Sus scrofa: one gene and its partners. The protein of the gene in region 1 purifies or fractionates together with the protein of each later gene. This does not show direct contact. Links are inferred from orthologs where the notes say so. Each region holds a gene or a part of one and is shown on either strand. Other genes may lie near its edges. The genes, in order: RASSF1, SAV1 and MAP1B.

Evidence for each region.
Region 2: the proteins of RASSF1 (region 1) and SAV1 purify together in Homo sapiens (affinity purification with western blotting; 3 studies listed by BioGRID, with this or other methods). This does not show direct contact. The link is inferred for Sus scrofa from reciprocal best matches to the Homo sapiens genes RASSF1 and SAV1.
Region 3: the proteins of RASSF1 (region 1) and MAP1B purify together in Homo sapiens (affinity purification with mass spectrometry; 3 studies listed by BioGRID and IntAct, counting the BioPlex papers as one, with this or other methods). This does not show direct contact. The link is inferred for Sus scrofa from reciprocal best matches to the Homo sapiens genes RASSF1 and MAP1B.

Annotation. Positions count from the first base shown.
Region 1 is NC_010455.5:32,819,965-32,828,233, reverse strand, and holds the start of RASSF1 (ras association domain-containing protein 1), read left to right. Parts: upstream 1-2,869; 5' UTR 2,870-3,174; coding exon 3,175-3,424; intron 3,425-5,526; coding exon 5,527-5,633; exon of another isoform or gene 5,634-6,203; coding exon of another isoform or gene 6,204-6,356; intron 6,357-7,889; exon of another isoform or gene 7,890-8,269. Other genes in the region: ZMYND10 (zinc finger MYND domain-containing protein 10), read left to right, coding at 18-71, 191-328, 440-528, 619-719, 1,415-1,587, 1,834-1,959, 2,042-2,163, 2,275-2,400 and 1 more. UniProt on the Homo sapiens protein: Potential tumor suppressor. Required for death receptor-dependent apoptosis. Mediates activation of STK3/MST2 and STK4/MST1 during Fas-induced apoptosis by preventing their dephosphorylation.
Region 2 is NC_010443.5:180,426,604-180,434,148, reverse strand, and holds part of SAV1 (protein salvador homolog 1), read left to right. Parts: 5' UTR 1-81; coding exon 82-175; intron 176-2,555; coding exon 2,556-2,999; intron 3,000-7,545. UniProt on the Homo sapiens protein: Regulator of STK3/MST2 and STK4/MST1 in the Hippo signaling pathway which plays a pivotal role in organ size control and tumor suppression by restricting proliferation and promoting apoptosis.
Region 3 is NC_010458.4:48,488,786-48,496,330, reverse strand, and holds part of MAP1B (microtubule-associated protein 1B), read right to left. Parts: coding exon 4,226-7,545; intron 1,688-4,225; coding exon 1,449-1,687; intron 1-1,448. UniProt on the Homo sapiens protein: Facilitates tyrosination of alpha-tubulin in neuronal microtubules. Phosphorylated MAP1B is required for proper microtubule dynamics and plays a role in the cytoskeletal changes that accompany neuronal differentiation and neurite extension.

The DNA of each region.
Region 1 (8,269 bases):
TCCTCTTTAACTGACAGATACACCACGAAGCCTCCATCATCAACCTCCTGGAGACAGTGTTCTTCCACAAGGTGAGGCACCCGCCCTGCCCACTGGCTACTGCCCCAGGCCAGAGCCTGGCAGCAAGGGGGGTTGTATCTGTGTGGGAAGGGCATCAGAGACAGAATGTTCCCCTCCTCCTGACCCCCAGGAGGTGTGTGAATCAGCAGAGGACACTGTCTTGGACCTTGTGGACTACTGCCACCGCAAACTAACTTTGTTGGTGGCCCATTGTGGCCATGATGGCCCCTCAGAGGAAGAGGAGTCCCAGTACAGCACCCCCATGCAGGTGGGCTGAGGTTCCCTAGGATTGGCAAGGGCTAGACCCAGGCTCCCCCAGGTCTAAGCAGGCAAGAAGATGGCCCACCTTGAACGCCGTGTGTCCCACCCCCCAACTCAGGAACTACAAAAGCAGGCAGAGCTGATGGAATTTGAGATTGCACTGAAGGCCCTCTCGGTGCTGCGCTACATTACAGACTGTGTGGACAGGTGGGCAGCCCTACCAGGTCTGGGGCCTGAAATGGAGGGCTGGGAGCCTGGGCTTGTAGTTTCTCCTTACCTTTCTATCTCTGTCCCTAGCCTTTCCCTGAGCACCTTGAGCCGCATGCTCAGCACCCACAACCTACCCTGTCTCCTGGTGGAATTGCTGGAGCATAGTCCCTGGAGCCGGCAGGAAGGAGGTAAGGTCCTCTTCCATCTGCCTAAGCCCCAGCCCACTGCTTCCAGGACATCCTCCAGGATTGACAGGGGGGCAGCTTGCACACAAGCAGACAAACTCTGCCCCCTTGCCCACAGAGAATACCAGAATGCCTCACCTAAAGTGGGCCTAGGGAGTTCCCTAGTGGCCTAGCAGTTAAAAATCTGGCATTTTCAGAGTTTCCGTTGTGGCTCAGAGGGTAAAGAACCGAACATAGTATCCATGAGGATGCAGGTGCAATCCCTGGCCTCACTTAGTGGGTTAAGGATCCAGTATTGTCATGGCTGTAGTGTAGGCCAGCAGCTACAGCTCTGATTCAACCCCTAGCCTGGGAGCTTCCATAGGCCACAGGTATGGCCATAAAAAGGAAAAAAAGTATTAAAAAATATATATATATGGCATTTTCACTACTGTGGCTCTGGTCACTGCTGTAGCGCAAGTTTGATCCCTGGTCTGGGAACTTCTGCATGCCATAGGTACATCCCCCCCAAAAAAAAACAAATTGGACCTAGGCCTGTTCTCTGCAGCAGGCAAAGAACTCACCCTGCTCTAAAGCAAGCAGCACCCCAGCCTGGGCAAGTCCTGTGCCCAGGCAGTGGTCAGTCTCCCAGCCCACGCAGCTGGCTCACTCAAAGAGCATGCGATGTTTGTACCCAGTATGCTGGTTCCTCTCCCCAGGCAAGCTGCAGCAATTTGAGAGTGGCCGTTGGCAGACAGTGCCCCCATCAGAGCAGCAAAAACTGAGCAAGTTGGATGGGCAGGTGTGGATTGCCCTGTACAACCTGCTGCTAAGCCCCGAGGCCCGAGCCCACTATTGCCTCACCAGCTTTGCTAAAGGACAGCTACTCAAGGTAGGAACTCCTCCCATATCAGCCCCACAGCCCCCTAGCCCTGCCCCACCCCACCCCTGTTTATTTTTACCCACCTGCCTCAACCCTAGGCCTCTCTCCAGAACTTGGGCCTCAGGTGACACACACAGAAGCTAATGGGATGTGGGTCCCACGGGCATCCTTAGTCCAACCCAGCCCAGGGTCTCTCTGTTCCTTGACCTTCTGGTCAGCACTGCTTCACACTGGCCTCCCTGGAAACCCTTGCAGCTTCAGGCATTCCTCACAGACACGCTGCTGGACCAGATGCCCAACCTGGCAGACCTGCAGGGTTTCCTAGCCCACCTGGCCCTGGCCGAAGCCCAGCCCCCTAAGAAAGACCTGGTGTTGGAACAGGTAGGCACTAGAAAGTTAGTTGCTCGGGACCACTGCCCACTTTGCCAGCTCCTCCCTGCTACTCTCCATTTCTCTTCCCCAGATCCCAGAAATCTGGGAGCGGCTAGAGCAAGAGAACAAAGGCAAGTGGCAGGCTATTGCCAAGCACCAGCTGCAGCATATATTCAGCACCTCAGAGCAGGACCTGAGGCTGCAAGCACAAAGGTGAGGCCTGCTGGAAGGGGTGGAAGAGATGCAGAAGGCATGGATGTGGGCAGGGCTGCTCCTGTCCCCCCACCCACAGGTCCAGTCAAGTCCTTCTGACCCTTTTCCCAGGTGGGCTGAGACCTACAGACTGGACGTGCTGGAGGCAGTGGCTCCAGAGCGACCCCGCTGTGCTTACTGCAGTGCAGAGGCCTCCAAGCGCTGCTCACGATGCCAGAATGAGTGGTACTGCTGCAGGTGAGGGTATCCTAGGATCTTGGATCCCTAAATCCCACTTCCATACCCCTCACAAACACTGAATCTTTACTGGCCCACTTGCCTGCAGGGAGTGCCAAGTCAAGCACTGGGAAAAACATGGAAAGTCTTGTGTTGTGGCAGCCCAAGGTGACAGAGCCAAGTGAAGGATGCAGCTGCTGAGGGCCAACCACCATGCCATACAATCCACTAGAGTGTACCCCTGAACCTCTGGATCTCGGCCTGGCCTCTGCAAGTGCCCCAGCCTCCCAGATGAGGAAGACAGCAGGAGGGAAGTGCTGCTGACCCATCTTCCCCAGCAAAGCCATCCCCACTTCCTGCCCCACCCGGCTTAGGGTGCAGCCTCAGCAAGCTGGGGAGAGAGGCCCTGGGCGGGGTTGTGGGGGTGAGAACCGGATGTGGGGACCCTCTTCCTTCAGTAAGTAAAGTAAAGCTGGTTTCCATAAAGACGCCTGTTTTCCGCGTGGTCGTCGTGGTTGTTAGGGGGAGGGGAGTAGCTCGAGGGATGAAGGGAGGTAGGAGGGCGGGGACTCCGCGACAGCAGCACCCGTGCAGCGCCCTCCGGGCTCCACTTCTCCTGCGGGAGGGCAGACGCAGCCTGGGTGCTGGGTATCCCTGGCGCCGCGCTCTTTTGCTCTCCCGCCGCTCTGCCTGAACCCCGGAGGCGGCGCCGCATCGGGGGCCCGCCCCGCGGCCCCGCCCGTCGGGAGCTCGCTCGGCGCCCAGAGCCAGCAGGAGTCCCGGCCGGACCGGGACATGTCCGCTGAGCCCGAGCTCATTGAGCTGCGGGAACTGGCACCCGCTCGGTGCGCCGCCCCGGTCCGCACCCGGCTGGAGCGTGCCAACGCGCTGCGCATTGCTCCGGGCACAGCGCGCAACAACGCAAGGCAGCTGGTCCCGGGCCGAGGCCACCGCTTCCAGCCTGCGGGGCCCGCCACGCACACGTGGTGCGACCTCTGTGGTGACTTCATCTGGGGCGTCGTGCGCAAGGGCCTGCAGTGCGCACGTGAGTAGCGCCCGGGGCATTGGCGAGAGTGAAACGGGTGGCCAAGCTGAAGGCCAAGTTGCTACGGAGGGGGTCAGTGGGGACCACAGACCAGGTAGTTTACTTTTGCCAAATAGCCTAAGACAGTGCAGGCAGATGGGTTATAACCTTGATATCTTACAAGCGTGCCACCTGCATATGGGACATAGGCAGCAGTGGTTGCCTGTGAATAACAAGGTGCTGCTTTCAAGTTTAAAAAGTGCCTTGATCCTTCTTGAAAAAGGCTTTGTACCCACCAGTCTTTGAGTTCATATTCCCACACCTGCCCCTTACAAAGATTCACTCACCAAGTCCCCCTCCAGAATTCCTGGGGTGAAGAGAATTTACCCGACAATGGGAGAAGGCCTTGAAAAAGTTAGACCCTTGGGTAGGCCCCCTGCAAGCAAGAGTTTTTGTTGAAGTTCTCCTTGTGGCTCAGCGGTATCTCATCTGACTAGTATCCATGAGGACATGGGTTCGATCCCTGGTCTTGCTCAGTGGGTTAAGGATCCGGCATTGCCATGAGCTGTGGTATACGTCGAAGATGTGGCCTAGATCCTGCATTGCTGTGGCTGTAGTGTAGGCCGGCAGCTGCAGCTCAAATTAGACCCCTAGCCCAGGAACTTCCCTATGCCGTGGGTGCGGCCCTTAAAAAAAAAAATAGGAGCGTCCACACACCAGCTGATGCTTCTGCCCTCCAGGAACCACCAGCAATAAGAGGTTGCTCTCCCCCCTGGCTATACACTTAGTATGCTTTTACAGTCCTCCAAACCTCTATGCTTGAATCCTACCTGAGACCTGTTGAATCGATCACGAGAGTGTTATCAGCGATTTTTAAAGACAGATCATTCTAATGTGCAGCCTGGGTTGTGAATCAGTGCTCTGGCCCATTTAGGAACTTAGGGAAGCTGTCCCAGGCCTGTGTGTCCAAGGATAGCCTCATCAGGTACAGGAGTTTGTCCTGAATTCAGCTGGGAGGAGCACAGGAGTTGTTACAGAATGCAAAGCATGAACAAGGGCTGGGACATTAGCACTGTTCCCAAGTAGAAATAAAGTGAATATGAAATTGAAAAACAGGAAAATTTGGATGTGTGTCAGAGGCAGAAACAAGGGAGGAATTAAGGATGAGTTAGGGTGATTTTTTTGCCTCAAACAACTGGGAAATTTTTGCTGAGATGAGAAGCTCTGGCAAGGGTAAGAGTGAGGAAAAGTGAGTTTTAAAGGGTAGGAAAGTGAGTTAAATTTTGGTCACGTTGGGTTGAGATATCTATAAAACATCCAAACGAAGAAACTGACACATGGGATTTGATGGGGTTGGAGTCAGTGAGGGAAGCCTTGGATCTCGGGTAGGTCAGTGTACACAGAGCAGGGAAATGACCAGGACTGAGCCTTTGACACTCCACTAAATCTGGAAGTTGAAACAGCAGGAGCTGTAGAGAGGTGGGAGGAAAACCAGGGTAGCACCCCCTCCCCGGGGTGGGGATCAAGGAGAGCAAGCATCAGACAATGCTGAGGAGGCGAAGATGGAGAAGGGCCCACTGGATTTGGTAATGCACAGGTCGCTAACAACCCTGAACAGTGCCGTGTCTGGAGGAAGAGGCAAGCCTAACTGGGATGGGTAAAGGGTGAAGGCGAGGAATTAAGTGTTTGTAGACCAATGTTGGTAAGCTTTTGGTGCCAGGGGAGTACAAATGACACCGAGAGGGTAGAGAGCATTGGGTTAAAAATTTTTTTATTTTTTTCCCCTTCAAATAAATGGGCGGAGGGAGGGGCACTGATAATAAGGAAGGGGAAAGTTCTGTCCTAAGCGCTAGGAATCCAACTGCTAAGCAGGCCTAACCTAACGCGTGAGGCCTTCAGGCGCCCCCGCCAGTTTTCAGGCGCCCCCGCCCCCACCCCCATCCCCCGGGGACCAACACTGAAAATCTGTGTAGCAGTGGGGCGGTAACGGGGCCGGAGATGAGGCAGGTCATGCAGAGCACAGAGAGCAAAGGCCTTCACACCGAGGCTTCCCTTCTGTCCCTGGGACGCTTCTCCAAGCTGCTGCTGGGGTTTTTCCGCCTCACGACCAGACCTCTCTGCAGATTGCAAGTTCACCTGCCACTACCGTTGCCGCGCGCTTGTCTGCCTAGACTGCTGCGGGCCCCGGGACCTGGGCTGGGAACCGGCGCTGGAACGGGATACGAACGTGGTGAGCACGGGGCAGGGGAGTTTATGGGCAAGGCAGGGAGGAACAGACAAGCGGGGCACATTGCAGGCGTTCCTTAAAGCCGTCCGGCGCTACGCGCAAGGAACGTTGTAACTTCTCCGTAGCAGAGAAGCTAACTCTGTGCGAGGACTCGAAGGGGTACACCGGGTGTTGACTAGGCGCTGTCCACCAGGAGCCGCCCAGGCTCCGCGCAAGCGCAATTTCCACACCTTTCCACATCTGCATCCGGTCTTGTGGCCACGCTGGTGCACATGCGCACACTCTCGGACTAGTTCCTGGTGGGAAGTGAGGCCTGTGAGGCAGAGTTGAGCTGCGCTGCACTGGCGAAGATATCGCTCCTGGAGGCGTGGCCTCTGTGGTCCCGCCCTTCGACATTCCTCCTCCAATGACATGAGAGCTAGATCCTGGCTGTCTACGTTTCAGTGTTAACGGTTGCGGTGCGGATACAGGTTCCGGCGCACGCGCACACATACATGGGCGCGCGTGCGCACACGCGCCTGGGGCGGTGGTTGGAGGCTACCGGGACACGGGGGCTGGCTGTCGGGCGCGGCGATGGGTGAGGCGGACGCGGGGACGCCTTCTTTCGAGATGACCTGGAGCAGCACGACAAGCAGTGGCTACTGCAGCCAGGAGGACTCGGACTCAGAGCTCGAGCAGTACTTCACCGCGCGTACCTCGCTGGCTCGGAGGCCGCGCCGGGACCAGGTGGGGGCCAGGGGTTGTAGGAGGCGGGCTGCGGGCGGGCGCTGGGACCTCGCCCTTCCCCGGTAAGTTGAGGTGTCGGCACTTTGTGGGCAGCTCCGCCCTCCCGTCAACGTGGATCCGGGATTCGACCCTGGCCAGCCCTCTGAACCGTGTGTTGGGCTTTCAGCGTGTTGGTACCAGAGGTGGCAGCTAAGTAGTTTGGGGTAGACGGGGGACGGGCGTTACCCACCCATTACTGAGGCTCACTGCGCAGTCTGGACTAACACCTTGATTTCCGCGGGCTGGCGCTCCTCCCATTTCCCACCCTCGCTCTGGGGATCGCCCGGAATTGAGAAGTGTATTTGGGAGACCAGCAGAGGGTCTGGGCCCCTCCATTTGCCCTCCTGAATTGAGCCAATTTAGTCCCCACCTCTTGGCCTGTTACCAGCTGCTGGAATGTGAAAGATTCTGATGCTCCTTCCTCTGAAGTGTATCAGGAGTGCTCGCTTGGGCAGCACATCTACTGAAATTAGAGCAGACCTAGAGAAAGGGGATTTGGGGATGGATGGGAAGGAAGTTTTATTTTGGACTGTAAGCATCCAAGAGCACTTTATCCACAAGAAGTAAGGAAAGTTAGATTGAGAGTGGCCAAGAGAAATAGGAGTTACTAATCCAGGACTAAGGTGTGGTGCCGGAACAGCTGTGCCTCTCACAATCTCCCAGTTGTCCCCCTTATCGGAGACCTCTATGCTCTGTGACGTCAGTGTGACCACTGGGTTCAAATAACAGTTCTGGAGCTGATACATCTCAGAGAAGCACCCTGGCCAAGGCATCAGGAAAGAGTGATGGGTACCACGAAGTGAAGTTACTAAACTAATACCTGGCAGCAATGGGGGCAGAATTCCTTATGTGAGCCAAGAAGAGGGAGTTGTAGATAATTCGTTAGATGAAAATTTTGTACCTCAAATACTCAGCCCAGAGTTAGGGTGCAAGGTTTGAGTGTGGATCCCTGGGACTGTGTCACTCTGGCCTGAGACATTTTCCTTTGTGGAAAGGTGAGAAAATCACATCACACCAGGCAATTGAAAAGGAGGCTGGGGAATCCCAAGTTGTATGTAAAATAAGACCATCAGGAGTTCCGGTCATGGCTCAGTGGTTAACGAATCCGACTAGGAACCACAAGGTTTCGGATTTGATCCTTGGCCTTGCTCAGTGGGCTGGGGATCTGGGGTTGCCGTGTGCTGTGGTGTGGGTCGAAGACGTGGCTCAGATCTGCCATTGCTGTGGCTCTGGCGTAGGCCGGCAGCTGCAGCTCCAATTGGACCCCTAGCCTGGGAACCTCCATATGCCATGAGTGCGGCCCTAGGAAAAAAAAAAAAAAAAAGACTAAAAAAATAAAATAAAACCATCAGTTACTCTGGGCAGTGGCAGAGAGTGGTGGGTGGCTACAGTGCAGAAGGGAAGTTGCATGATCCTGTTGTGTATCCCTCTGGGATAGCTGCTGAAATCCTCCACTGAAATGCCTCCAGTCCAAGTCCTTTGTTTTATGAGTAGAGATGCGGAGGGAGATCCACCTGAGAAGAGAAAGGGCTGGAACTGAGGTCACTGCATCCAGCTCAGGGTTCCTGGATAACCCAGGAAGGGAAGAGGAAGGATCCAGGCTAGAGCTCAGAGCCATCACAAGGAAGGGGGATAAGATAGTGTTATCCCTTTGATCACCCTGCTCTGTAAGTAGAATTCTCTTCTTTGTTGCCCTAGCACTAGAGTCTGCTCAACTTTCTCCTGGCACTGGCACTCCTTCCCATCACATCTCTCCTTGGGTCTTAACAAACAACACCACCCTTTATTCCCAGCCTCTAGCCTTCCTCTTACCCCCAGATGCCTTATTTTCAGGGCCCACACCATTGGGTCTTACTATTTTTCAGGGTTTCCCA
Region 2 (7,545 bases), on another chromosome or scaffold:
AGGTGGCGGCGGGGAATCCCGGCGCCGGGCGCGGAGCCTTAGGGAGGCTTCTTGGCGTGGCCTGAGGCCTTGTGGACAAGGATGCTGTCCCGAAAGAAAACCAAAAATGAAGTGTCCAAGCCGGCCGAGGTGCAGGGGAAGTACGTGAAGAAGGAGACGTCGCCTCTGCTGCGGAGTGAGTGTCGGGCGGGGCGCGCCCACACCTGGCCGGGGTGCCCACGGGGACCCGGGCAGAGTGCCTGCCGCCTCTCTCCGCGGCTTCTTTTCCTCCTTGGTATCTGTGAAATACTCGTTTTTAAAATTTTCTTGTGCTTAAAGTGGTGTTGGTTGTATGAAAGCTGATGAAGAGTAAGAAACTTATATTCGTCCACCTCCGACCCCCTCCCCCCCAAATAACCACAGACTTCTCTGTCTACTTTCGTCAGTGTTGTTGGTTTTGATTAACTGGAAGAAAGAGGCTCTTTGGGAAACACTTAAATTGCTTATCCCCTGGGCTTATAGGAATTAAAGTGATTAGACTGGGGCACACTTTTTCTTCTAGTTACGTCGAGATTTGCTGTATGTTTGCAAACATTGCGGATGTCACTAGCCCGTTCTGCAAATTGGGCGAACTCTCGGGTAGAATTCCTTAGCCCAGCTGTTGGGTGCAGACTTAAGGAGATGAAAGGTGATCATTGCTATTGTAGCCGCTACCTAAAGCCTCATCAATCGTAGATCTTAGCGAAGAGGAGCCAAAATATGTATTTGGCTGTGTTCGTGAGAATTGCTTCAAATACCAGCTCCCCCGCCGCCGAGAATCAAAAAGGCAAAGTACTCAAAATAATTTCATATTTTACAGGAAGTTACCAAAAACTTTTTTTTTTTTTAACTCTAATAGAATGCATTTTTCTCCCACCCTACCCTGGCACTTTTCTTCTCTTCACTTTAAGTATTTGATTCTAATTTTCCAGCTGAATCTATTGAATTTTTAATTTTCGTGTGTTCAGAACATCTGTGAGGTAAGGAGCTAATTTGTTGGTGCTCATTCTACAGGCTGAGCCCTTTGTGTAAGTTTTCTTCTGGGAGGCTCCTAACCTTGTGACTTAAGCATTACCTCATATTGTAATTGAGAAAGCTTTTCATAGAGATTCCTAGTAATACTTGCCCAAGATCACACAGAAAGGGGTGGAGAGCATGTTTTTCCGTTATAACCACATCAGACTTGCAGATTTATCCATGTGTTTGCAGTGCTTTCTTATAAAACAGAGCATATTAGATGGGTACATCAGTAACGTGAAACTTGATTTTTAAACCTTTTTTTTTTAATCAGTTTTTCAGTTACATATTAGTATTTTGGTTGAGTTAATGATAACATGCAGTTTGCTGCAAATAAAGTTTATTGAACATTACTTGAAATAATGAGATATATTTGCCTTTTAAGTAAATAACTTGATAGAGTATTTTATATTTTGGTTTTATCAAATGTTGAGCCTTGTTTATTCTGATATTAATTTTTGTCTAGAGTTAGCTTCTGTTGCTTATTAATGTGAGTGCTCTCTGATAGTTTACTTAATGAACTTATAAAACGGTCGCCAAATCCAGTTTTCTTCTTGTTTTAAAGGTATTTGCTTTCTAACCGGGAATGCCTAAGCTATTAAATTCTGTATTCAGAAGTACTGTATCCTTAAAGCCATTGTTCTTCTGTTATCTTCTGTTTTGAATTATAATTGTTCTTAAAGGAGCCGTAGTTTCAGTCTTGGCATTTTCTTGAACAGATCCGACATTTGTGTGCCTTTTTGAAATGAGATCTTTTTATTTTTTAATTTTTGTAGCTAAATTGTTAGCTTTTCCAGCTTTTGATTACTACTTTTTGATTACAGCTTTTTATGTACTACTGCTACACAATTCGACAAGTAGGAAGGCCAGGTTATTCATTTTAAAATCTTTTTAAAGGAAATCACTTTTATGTGTTTGCGAATAGAATTATAAATTATTTTGTTTTCTTTTTTCTAAATTGTGTTTGCTTGAAGGATTTGAGGAATTTTGAAAATGAAGAAAAATCAACAAAACACACTAAAATGTTAACTTATGCTGGTAACTGTGTATCCATTTGTTAGATTGTTTACTGTTTTTATACATTTCATGAGTATTTCATTAATAACATATTTAATAGTTAAACTTATTGACATTTCATCATGTTATGTATGGTAAGATGCAAAATACATTTGATTCTGGCAGAGCTTACACATAACACATTCATACAAATTATAAATTCACTCGGGTGGAAAGATGTCAGCTCAAATTTTATTTTTGGCCACGCTCATGACGTGCAAATTCCCTGGCCAGGGACTGAACTTGTGTCACAGCTGTAACCAGAGCCACCGTTGGATCCTTAACCCTCTGAGTTACGTGGGAACTCCAGCCTCAATTTTAAAATACCCAAATACTGTCCTAAAATTTTTAATTATGTTTTCTTAAATCTGTTGAAGTTTTTCATTTTGGGGTGATACATGTAAATGAACAACTTCTGAAAAGTGCATTACTTATTGGTCCTTTTACCCTTTGTTTTGTCATAGATCTCATGCCTTCATTCATCCGGCACGGTCCCACAATTCCAAGACGAACTGATATCTGTCTTCCAGATTCCAGCTCTAATGCCTTTTCAGCTTCTGGAGATGGAATAGTTTCAAGAAACCAGAGTTTCCTTAGAACTCCAATTCAAAGAACACCTCATGAAATAATGAGAAGAGAAAGCAACAGATTATCTGCACCTTCTTATCTTGCCAGGAGTCTAGCAGATGTCCCTAGGGAATATGGCTCTTCTCAGTCATTTTTAACAGAAGTTAATTTTGCTGTTGAAAATGGAGACTCTGGTTCCCGATATTATTATTCCGATAATTATTTTGATGGTCAGAGGAGGCGCCAGCTTGGAGATCGCACACATGAAGACTATAGATATTATGACTACAACCACGATCTCTTCCAAAGAGTGCCACAAAATCAGGGGAGGCATGCTTCAGGTAACTTAAAATTATAAATACTACGTGAGTTTGATTTATTAACACCTCATTAAAAAAATGTTCTTTTCTGGATTTTCTTGGGAAGGCAACAGATACTCCTAAAGAACTACTTCTACATTTTGCCAATTTGCTAAGTCAGTTTGCAAATAATTATTAATCTGAACTGAGGGAAGGAATTTCATGTCTATTAAGCCATTTAATTACCTTATTTTATAAAAGCTTGGTACGTAGCTAAAGGCTATGTAGACTGTTAACATTTCGAAGCTGGAAAACCTAGAGATTTTAATGTCTATAGTTGGACTGCGTCTAGGTTTAGATTTGGTAAAATGGGAAGGTTAGGATTTCAGAGAAACTGGACCTCAACCTGGGAAAAGAAAGGCAAATAGGAAGAATTGGGCATGATGGGTGACACCATGGGCAACTACATCATTACTTAGCTAGAACTGGCACTGTTTCTTTTAACAGAACTGTTTTCGTAGTAGTCATTTATGTGTCTAGCATTTTCCCCGACCCTCTTGGTAGTATCTGCCTTCTGGGACCTATTTGGGAGGATGAAACTAATATATTCAAGATGATCAAAAAACAGGTAGTCATTAAACTTTGTGGTATTGACTGTTAAGTGCAGTAAAGAGTCAGAAGAGAAAGAGATCGGGGTAGGCTAGAATACTTGGAGAATGGTTTGTGGAAGAGGTTGGTCCTGAACTTTGCTTTTGCTTTTAGCTTAGACTTTAGAATGACAGGGGACATGGGAAGAACATTTTAGTTAGAAAATTAGGATTAGGCCAGTGAAAAGAGCAGAGATGATATAAATCCAAGGAGTTGTGCACTTCTGCATAGTTTGGAGAAATAAGTTGTAAGGTGAAATGGAGATTAGTGGTGCAGCAAGAGCTTGCAGGATTTAAATTTGAGTCAAGCAGAGGCCATTGAAGATTTCAAAAGGACAAGATGTTCATTTTATGAAAGGACTATTTCAAGATTAGCTTACCAGTTAAGATAGATTGCTAGAGAAAAGAGGACTGCAGTGGAGAGGAAAGTGCAAATCTATGATACTTTTGAAGGAAAAATGAGACCTAATTATGGGTTTGGGAGAAAGTAAATCACTGAAGTTTTGAAAATTAAAAGTATGGAGTAGTTGGCAAGAGTAGCTTATTTTGTGAAAGCTGACATTCAAGTCTCATTGGGACATTGAAGAGAAGAGATTCATCTAGAAGTCTATGAATACATAACATAAAATGTCTAGAGGCATATAGAAGTACTGTCATGAGAATAGGTGCGTGTCTTTTTTGTTTTTAAAGAACTTCTAGGTTAAAGGATTAGATAGTTGGATACTTTATTGTGTATTTTGGCTGTTTCTAGTAATCATGTATTTTTAAACTGAAATAATTTGTTTTCTAATCAGAATAGTAAGTTTTAAAAATAAAGTTCATTTTGGGGGTTCCCCTTGTGGCTCAGTGGTTAATGAATCCGACTAGGAACCATGAGGTTGCCGGTTTGATCCCTGGCCTTGCTCAGTGGGTTGAGGATCCGGTGTTGCTGTGAGCTGTGGTGTAGGTTGCAGACACGGCTCAGATCCTGCAATGCTGTGGCGTAGGCTGGCAGCTACAGCTCCGATTCAACCCCTAGCCTGGGAACCGCCATATGCCTCGAGAGCAGCCCTAGAAAAGGCAAAAAGACACACACACACACACACACACACAAGTTCATTTTTATATATTTTAACAAGATGTATTTAGTTATTTCTTTCATCTTTTTCCATGGCATTCTTTTTAAAACTGTGATTATAGTTTGTCCATTTTCATATCCCTGCCTTTTTATATGAATGAGTTTCTTACTGTTATACACTATTTATAAGTACTTTCAGTGATCTTCCATTCAGTACACATTTGATGGGTAATATTTTAAATGACCTATCAGGCTGGGGATGTTTGGAAAGGGGGGAAGTGAGACACATCTGCATTAATGGGCCTTGACCACTAATGGGGATTGAGGGATGAGAGAAAGAGAAGAGTCAGATAGGATTACCAAAGCACCTGGCTATATAGGAGGTACTCTAAAAACAAATGGTTGAGTAAGTGAATGGATCCACAGATTTCAAGTTTGGAGTCTTAAGACAATTTTGGTAGCTGAAGAGTATCGGGAATAATAGCTTATAACAGTGTTTGCCATTAATACCGATTGTTTATATTCCAAACATCACTGATAGCTTATGACACTTTTATACCTGAAGTATGCAGATTTAATGACACCAAGATAAAATCTTGTGTTAAAATCCTGATTCGTTGTAGTTCCCGTTGTGGCTCAGCAGTTAATGAATCCGACTAGCATTCATGAAGACAACTATTCGATCCCTGGCCTCTCTCAGTGGGTTAAGGATCCGGCGTTGCCATGAGCTGTGGTGTAGCTTGAAGACATGCCTCGGATCCTGCGTGGCTGTGGCTGTGGTGTAGGCCGGCAGCTACGGCTCCAATTGGACCCCTAGCCTGGAAACCTCCATATACCACGGGTACGGCCATAAGAAAAAGGCAAAAAAAAAAAAAAAATCCTGATTCACAAAATATCATTGAGGAAATATTGTAAAAACTAAATTTCTACTGATCCTCTCTTAGAACCCTGCTTATGCAGTTTGACGTAGTTTTTGTGTTTTTGTCTTTTTAGGGCCATATCCATAGCATATAGAAGTTCCCAGGCTACAGGTCTACACCACAACCACAGCTGAGGCTTGATCCTTAACCTACTGATCAAGGCCAGGGACGGAACCTGCATCCTCATGGATACTAGTTGGGTTCGTTATTGCTGAGCCACAACGGAAATTCCTGACATAGCTTTTATAATTTAAATAACATACTTTATTTTATTTTATTTTATTTTTGCCATACCTGTGCCATATGGAATCCACCGGGCCAAGGATTTAATCTGAGCCACAGCTGTGACTTATTTCTTCTCAGCTCTGGCAACACTGGATTCTTAACCCGCTGCACCAGGCCAAGGATCAAACTTGAGCTTCCATGGCATCCCAAGCCATTGCAGTCAGATCCTTAACCCAGCAAGAACTCCTAATGACAGACTTTAAAAAAATAACTTTCTCCAATCATGTTTTATTTTTTGTCTTTTTGCCTTTTCTAGGGCTGAACCGGGGGCATATGGAAGTTCCCAGGCTAGGGGTCCAATCGAAGCTGTAGTCGCTGGCCTACACCAGAGCCACAGCAACATGGGATCTGAGCCGTGTCTGCAACCTACACCACAGCTCACGGCAACGCCGGATACTTAACCCAACTTACTTAACCCAACTGAGCATACTTAACCCAACTGAGCGAGGCCAGGGATCGAACCCACAACCTCATGGTTCCTAGTTGGATTTGTTAACCACTGAGCCCTGATGGGAACTCCCTCTCCAAACATGTTTTAGAAGTAAATAAAATAGAAGTTAATTGGATACTTTTACAAATTCAAGAGTATCATTTTAAAAAACACTTGCTTTTATTATGGCAGTTATACATGTTTGAGAAATTTCACTTAACATTAGTTTATATCAGGGCAATAAGATTAATGCCTTTCAGAAAAAAAAAAAATACTTTTTTCTAGGAGGCTCCTAAGTGGCAGGGGAGGACTAAAAACCAATTATTAACTAAACAGAAAAGCCTAACAGCTATTATTTCCAGGAGGGAAAAATCTGAATATGAGAAAATAGCTGGAAGTTTCTTAAATTCATCTTGAAAAGACTTGAAACTTATTAAATTTTCAAGATTTATGCTGTAAAGAGTTAAGGAACATGAATGAATGGAAAGAAGGTAAGTTTGTGGGAGAATGAGGATGTGCTGAGGACACATTTATTTTCACAAGGTTTAAATTTTGATTGCTGTTACTAATGTAATAAGCATCAAAAAAGGTGTGGAAGAAAATAGTTTTGTGATGACTTGAGAGTAGTAGAGCCTGTCAATGAGTTGTCACTTAGGCTTTTAGGAAACACCTTGTCTCAAGGGTTAATTTCATCTTACTATTTTAGCAGAAGTACCAAAAAAACAAGTTGTATAATATCCTAAAGGATTTTAGGGCCTAGCAAGTTCTACATTTAGCTGTGAAATTTGACCTTTAACATTTTGGCCTACATACCAGTGAGGCACTTACTGTATGTGCCAAAGGAAGGAATTCTGTTAACAGGAAGGAAGTCTTTAGTTGGAATACTAAAGGCAGATTGAATTCCTTTGTTTTGCACCTAAGTAATTTGGTTTTGTGCAATTTCAAGTAACAAACTTTTAATTTTTATTTTTAAAGATGGCTAAAGAAATCAAGTTATAAAAATCGAAAGTCCTAAAAAATACTGGAGTTGTGTTTACTCCAGGAAATGCATGAATATTTAGTTAACCAGGAGAACAGATCTGTGGTTGCCAAGGGGGAGGGGGAGGGAGTGGGATGGACTGGAAATTTGGGGTTAGTAGATGCAAACTATTACATTTAAAATGGGTAGACAATAAAGTCCTGCTGGGGACCTATATCCAATCTCCTAGGATAGACCGTGATGGAAAACAGTATTTTTAAAGAAAGAATG
Region 3 (7,545 bases), on another chromosome or scaffold:
TTAGCTTCCACATAATAGTGATCTTATGTGACATTTGTCCTGTCTTACATCATTTAGTTTGGTATTTCTAGGTCCATTCATCTTGCCGCAAATGGCATGACATCATTTTTTTATGATTGAGTAATACTCCTTTGTGCGTACGTACCCCATCTCTTTTACCCAGGCCTCTGTTGATGGACATTTAGGTTGCTTCCATGTCATTCTGACTAGCGTGAGGTGATACCTCACTGTATTTTGATTTGCATTTCTCTAATAATTAGCGGTGTTGAGCATCTTTTCATGTGTCTTCTGGCAATCTGTATAGTCACTGGTTTTTCAATTCCTTAGTGTTAAAAGAAGTATTTCCTTTAACACAACTGGTCAGTTTTACATTAAAGATATTGCATATTTAATCCAAGGTGCTTTAGTTATTATTGAAACTGATTGCTTGTAACTAATTTCATCCTGAGAACAAAGATTTGTATCTTTCTTTTTTTTTTTTTAAAGGGCCACACCAAAGCATATGGAGGTTCCCAGGCTAGGAGTCAAATCAGAGCGGCAGCTGCTGGCCTACATCACAGCCACATCCATGACCTACACTGCAGCTTGTGGCAATACCAGATCCTTAACCCACAGGCGAGGTCAGGGGTTGAACCCATATCCTTATGGATACCAGTCAAGTTCTTAACCCGCTGAGCCACAACAGGAACTCCCAAGATTTGTGCCTTTAATTTGTGTGTGTGACTGGGGACATGGAGTGGGAGGGGTAGGTGGATAGATACGGGCTTGAACAGCAAAAATTCCATCTAGTATTCAGGAAGAGGTCACTGGGTGCTTCTCATTAGGTTTCATATGATGAAATGAGTATTTCCATTTAATGCTATGCACAGTTTACTAGATGACTATACATAAACCATAATAAAACTTAGATAAGCAGAAATCACAGCTAAAGTAAGAGTGGTTTGTGGCCAGTTAGGATGTTTGGGAGCTGGCATGCCCTACTGGGGACCACTTTTTTCAGCAGTGGCCCCCCTGCAGAATCTCACATGGACAGCTTATTTTCTAAATGGCCACATTCCTAGCTCTGGCCTACTTGCGAAGGACAAAGGAGTAAAGACGCTAACTTATCCACTCTTACATGGGAATATTACCTACCACTTGGTTACTCTGGTTAATATTCTTGGTAGATTAGGGTGAAGGGTAAGTAGTCTTGGGCCCACTTTGCAGAGAAATGAATTATGCTTTAGGAAGGTAATGTGGCTTTCCGCCAAGTCCGTGGTGGTTGGTGCTAACAAGAATACTTTCAGACCATCTTTTGTGTGTTAACTCATTCTGTCCTCAGGCTATTTCAGGTGTGGCAGATCTACCTCCTGTGATCCACAGTCCTAAGTCTCACTGAACGGGCCTCCTACCCTCTGCCTCTGGACACCGCTCCGTGTGCCGTGCAGACACTGTCCTGGAGCTCTTACCTGCATGTTGCTGCCCCACTGAGCCTTCCCTTCCAACAAGGCGTCCAGGACAGCCCGGCTGGGCTCCTCAGCAGCCGGGTCATTCCCACTCACCACGTAGTAGGACGACCTCACTCTCTTGAAAAATTCAACATCGACGTTCTTACTATTGCTGTGGTTGGGAATATAGCACAGGTCCAAGTACACAGGGGGGCCGGGAGGCACTGCCGAGGGCTTGGATGTCTTGGTGGTTCCAGGTCCTTCAGGAAAGAAACAAAAAGAGAAAAAAAGCCAGGGTCACAGGAATGCAAAGAGACCCATCTGTCCAGTACACCTCCCCTCCTCACTCCCAAGAAGGTCCTCTAGGCTATGTAGAGGTGAGGGTGCCGGGCACTTCCTTCTCTTGCAGAGGGCATTTGACACTGGCAAGCTGAGAAAATATTACCTGATTGTTTTCCATCTCAACAGGAGAAATGAAGGATGGGATGTCTCCCTTTGCAGACAACCCACTAGGAAGTAAGAAGGGTTTCAAGGTCTTGCCTGAGATAGAACTAGATGGTAACATTCCTCCCAAAAGAGCTACTAATGCCCAGTGGGATTTGAAAAGTAGTCTACGAACCAGATTTTAAAGAGCCAAAGAAAGCACCTGCATTTGGTAAACCATAGTCGAGCAATCTTAAGAATCTATGTTAGATCTCATTTGAAAGCAATGTTGCCCAGAGCTGATTGTGATACCGTAACGTTCGACCTAGCCAGTGGTCTGATCTTAACATCATAGGATTTCCAAGGCCCTCAGCACCTCAACCTCATTCATGATCTGACGAAATGCTGTATTCTCTCCTTAGGTCGTACTCAAAAATGTGAAACGTCTCTCCGTAGACAACACCGGATACCAAACTTTGGCAAGAGGAAGGTTCAGAAAGATTAGGCTTTCTCCAGCCAAACAGGACATACCAAACTGAGGTAAGGGGCCTGTGGCAGCCAAAATGCCCAGTCTAAATCAGAATACCTGGGCAAAGTAAAGATTCAGATTAACCCCGTGTTTTGGCACCTTGTCTGGTGAGCTGGCTTTTGACATTTTCTAATTGGAAGGTTTAAGCTTTTTGAGACATTAATAGAATGAGCACTCTAAGGCAGTGGTTCTTCGTCCTGGCCACATGATCAGAATCATGCAGCATGCCTAATACCAATGCCCAGGCCCCACGCCCAGAGTCTGGCTCCATGGAGCTGGGAACCACCTTTTTTTTTTGGGGTCTTTTCTATGGCCACACCCTCAGCACATGGAGGTTCCCAGGCTAGGGAGTCTAATCAGAGCTGTAGCCGCCGGCCTACACCACAGCCACAGCAACGTGGGATCCAAGCCACGTCTACAACCTATATCACAGTTCACGGCAACACCAGATCCTTAACCCACTGAGTGAGGCCAGGGATCAAACCCACAACCTCATGGTTCCTAGTTGGATTCTGCGCCACAATGGGAACTCCAAGCCACCATTTTTTAAAAGCACCCCAGCTAACAGGTGGTGTGTATCTGTTTTGAGACCACTGTAAAGCCATTTAAAATACTAGCTAGATCCATATATTTCATCTTCTTGCCTTTCTCCATGAGATGTAGGACAGTCTCTGGGAGACTGTCATCCCAGAGTTGAAACCAGCAATGAATTCCATCAACGGACTAGTTTTATTTTCAGGAGAGTAGGAGAGTGGTGAGAATCAGCCACACTGACATTTGGATAAACTCACTCAGTTTATGACTAGATTAACCAGCGTTTTAATGAACCTAAGCTGGAAGCCCTCAACATAGCCGTGTATAAGTCTCCAGAGAATTCTGCTTGTGACTTACCTTCCTTCTAATAATTAAAAATGTCAGCAGTTTCCCCTTGCATATTAAATCACTCCCATCATCACCAAACGAACATTGCCCATAGAGGTCCACACTGAGGGAAATGGCAGAAGTCGACCAAGGTTTGTTTTAAAGTTAATTAATAGTGTGATTTTGTCTTCTCAGCAATCTATTGGGAAAGCATCTTCAAAGTAAATTCAAACCAACTAACTTGGCCTCAAAATTTGTCATCTCTTTAAATGACAAAAAAAATTTTTTTAAATCAGTTGTGTGAGCTAAAGTGTATGTTTGGCAAGTTTGGTAGCAAATTTTAGTTGGGGTTCATGCCTTTCTCTCGACTTGTACTGGGTACCCACTAGTCCAGTAAATTTGCTGGTTGATAAAACAGAGCATTATTTTTAATGAGGATGTATCTCCAGCCTGATGATTTTTTCCTAATTAAAAAGTGTATACTCTTCAATTTTCAAGACGTTGTAACTTTTAAATATTTTTATTTTTTAAAAAATGGAACCTAAATCTTGGACCCACACTAGTTATTCCAGGCATGTCTTGGAACTCTGATTCTCCCTAGGCCTTTGGCACCTCAGCTTGATTCTGGGGCCAGGATGGCAAAAGCCAATGCCTCCGGAATCTTGTAGAGGAGCCTGAAACACAGATGCTTGGTTCTGAAGATGCAGAACAAGGCTATAGTTGCTGTGTTGCAAAAGGGAGCAAGCCCAGGGGTCACAGCTGGAGAATCACAGCTTCCGTGGGCCATATGCCGAGCCATCCCAGGCCCAGGGGCTACACTGGCCTGAGAGCTATACCTGCTGGCAGAAGAAAACCGTGACGGGAAGGGAGCACACCAAGTGTGCTCTCTCAGGTCCCTAGTTCAAAGTCAAATGGAAGCCCAGAGACTGCAGCTAAAAGCAGACTCATTATGTCCTGTAGCAGGATGCCAGCACCTTCCACCTACCTGCGGTTGCCGTCTTTACCGATTTGGATGTGGAGGCGTTGGCGGCATTCTTGGTCTCCTTGTCTTTCTCTTCCCCACGTGTAGCTTTGACCTCAGGGGTGGTGGTAGTTTTTGTTGCTTTTTCCACAGATTCTTTCTTCTTAGGAGAAGCCACTCTGGACACCTTATCTGAGGATTCCTTCAAGGCCCCTGGCTTCGGTGAAGCTGCAGAAGGCTTGGACTTGCCATCGGCCTTCTTGACAGGTGAGGACGACTTGGTCTTTGTCCCTGGCTTTTTGGTTTTGGTCTTCTCTTTGAGATCTTTCTTCAGAGCTTTGCCCAGGTTCTGCTCAATGGCCAAGGCCTCTGGGTCCATCATGGACACATCAGGGTGGCGTGGGGAAGGGCTACGGTCCTGCATGGGAGCCGGAGGTGGATCCATGTGTTTGTACGTGACGGTTTTGTCTGTGGGGATGGTTTCAGATTCATCTTCAGAGTCGATATTCGCATCCGCTGTGATGGAGGGGCACTCTTCGGTCTCCGGGGGCACGTCAGAGTCGGTCTGAGACGGGGCGGACTCGCTGACTGAGGTGGGAGGGGTTTCATCACACTGTCGGCCCTGGGGCTTTCCTCCAGGAGGTGGGGGGGCTCCCCCTGTTTGAGTCAGGGGCTTCTCTGAGTCTTCAGCTGGCTCTTCACTGGCAAACCACTCGAGAGGATTGGGGTTAATGAAGGAGGGCGAAAGCTCCGTCTTGGGATGCTTGTACTCACAGGAAGACACGAGGCACAAGTCAACATCCTGGCGAGCCTCAGAGGGGGACCTCTTTTCTGCGGTGTAGCACGGGTCTGAGGTCTCGTAGGAATAGGTAGACGCCTGGGGGGTTCTAGCCATCTTCTCTGCAGTCTCGTAACAGTATGCAGAGGTGTCAGGGGTTCGTGTAGTGGCTGTCGAGGTCTCGTAGGAGTAACTCTCAGACTCAGGGAAACTGGCAGCTTTCTCAGTGGTCTCATAAGAATAGCTGGAATCCCCAAGTGTCTGGCCACCCTCTTCAGAGTCATCATATCCATTGCTGATGTCATCCAGGAGCCTTCTAGACCTCTCAGTCTTTTCGTAGCTGTAACCACTCAGTTCAGGGGTTCTTGCTGTCTTCTCACTTATCTCATACGAGTACCCAGGCTCTTCGGGGCTCCGTGTGGCCTTTTCAGTAATTTCGTAGGCATAGCCCCCCTCTTCAGGAGTCTTGGTGGTTTTCTCAATGGCCTCATAGGAGTAGCCGCTGTCACATGGGGATTTGGCAGGGCTGTCTGTCTTCTCATAGTAATAGCCACTCACATCTGCACCCCGGGTAGTTTTCTCATAAGACTCATAGTCGTAACTCTCTTCGTCTGGGGACCTGGTTGTCATCTCCGGCTTCTGATAGGCATAGCTGAAGTCGCCGGGTGTCTTCCCACCACTGTCCTTCTCCATGACCGATGTGGCCAAATCTCTACTCAAGGCTAGATGGTGTGGCATCGTATCAAATAACATCGAGGCACGGAAGCCATAGGGCTCTGCGGATGCTGCATCCGTCGGTGGAGGAGAGGCAGCGTGGCAAGCGGCAATGCTCTCCTTGACTGCAGAGGTAGAATCTGAAAAACTCGGGGAATATAAAGGAGAGGACTCCCTCGGCGTGAGTGGAGAGATGTCGGATTTCGGTGAGAGCTTCTCTCCTTCCAGACTTTGCACTTTTTCAGAGGTGAGGGAGGCATATAAGGATATATCTCGGGGAGGAACAACATCGGATAGAGTATCTTCTTGGAGAGGAGAAGCTATCTGAGAAGGGGTGTGTGCGGAAGAGGTGGATGGGGAAGCCTCGACCTGGGATACTGAGATGAGCTCAGAAAGATCATTATCTTGGGTGTAGGACGGCTCTTCCGTTGGTGGGATCTTATGTGACAGACTGGAGTCCTGCATGTCAGAAGGACTATAGTCCACCTCCGTTGGCCCATTTTCAGTGATGTGAAGCATACCTGCACCCACTGTAGGGTGATCTGGAGACTGTCGGCTGAAGTCCATAGCAAGAGAATGCTCAGGGGATTCCTGGCCAAACTCAATAGACATGGAGGACTGTTCAGATCGGTGATCCTGAACTGGTGTCCTAGACTTGGCTGTTTTAGGGGAGAAGTCTGGCGGAGAAATTGACATTGGTCTGGGGCATTCTTCTTTAGATGGAGACATTTCTGTTTCCTGGAAAGTGGTGGGCGTTTGCACGACAGACACTGAAAGGGAGTCGTCTACTTCGGTGGAATGTGGGGAACCGACCTCCGCATGCAGCGAGGGGGACACGTCATCTGTTGTTGGCTCTGGAAATGAGCTCGTAGCCACAGAAGCTGTGGAGACCGAGGCCACTCCCTCCATGTGAGAGTATGTGTCTTCTGCCACACCCTCGTCAACAGGGGTAGCTGACTTGTCTGAGACAGTGCCTTCAGAAATGGACATCTTAGTGTCTTCCTTAAAAGATCCAAACTGACTGACATCTATCTGTGTAGGAGAAACATCTCCTAACTTCCTTTCATCCAGAGCCAGTCCTGACTGAGAACTCAGCTCCTCAACATCGTCAGTTTTCTTTTCTTGATCAAAATCTTCCTTTATTGGTATAAAGTCTGTGCTTTTCCCTTCCTCTTTGTCTTGGAAAAGACCAGTGGAAGTCGTGTCGGAAACTGGACTTATTTGGTCTGGAGAGCCTTGTTTTCCATTCTTTCCCTCAAAGGGGCTTTCTGTGTATCTACCAGGAGCCTTGTCGTCGGCACTTAGAAAACTTTCATATGCAGACTCGGATCCAATTAGCGGTGGGCTCCGTAAAGGAGACAAAACTTTCTCAATAGGAGACTCTGAGTCAGGCACAGGTTCATCCATGGGGCTTATGGAAGCCCTATCACTCTCATCTTTGGCATCACTGAATTCAAAGCTGACTGGGACTGCCGCTGGTTTTTCAATGGCTTCTGTGGGAAGGTGACCAGATTTCTCTTCAGTGGGAGACTGGTAGTAAGGTGTGTGGCCAGCACTGCCAGTCACAGACTGAGATGGAGACACCACTTCCAGGGTCTTATCCTCAGGACTGGCACAATGTTCTTCAACGACTTCTTGGGTCACCTCAGGAGACACTGGGGCTACTTCCGCCTCTGCTGAGACTTTAATCTCATTGGGTGTCAGAGAAAAGTTCACACTGCGTTCACCCAGAGGGGTCTTTTCTATGGGTGATGGCGGAGATGGACTCAGGGACGGGCTCTTGGGTGGACTAAGTTTTTCATCGGAAACTGCAGAGACGGTGTCTTTGACCTCCAACGTGGCACTGGCTCGC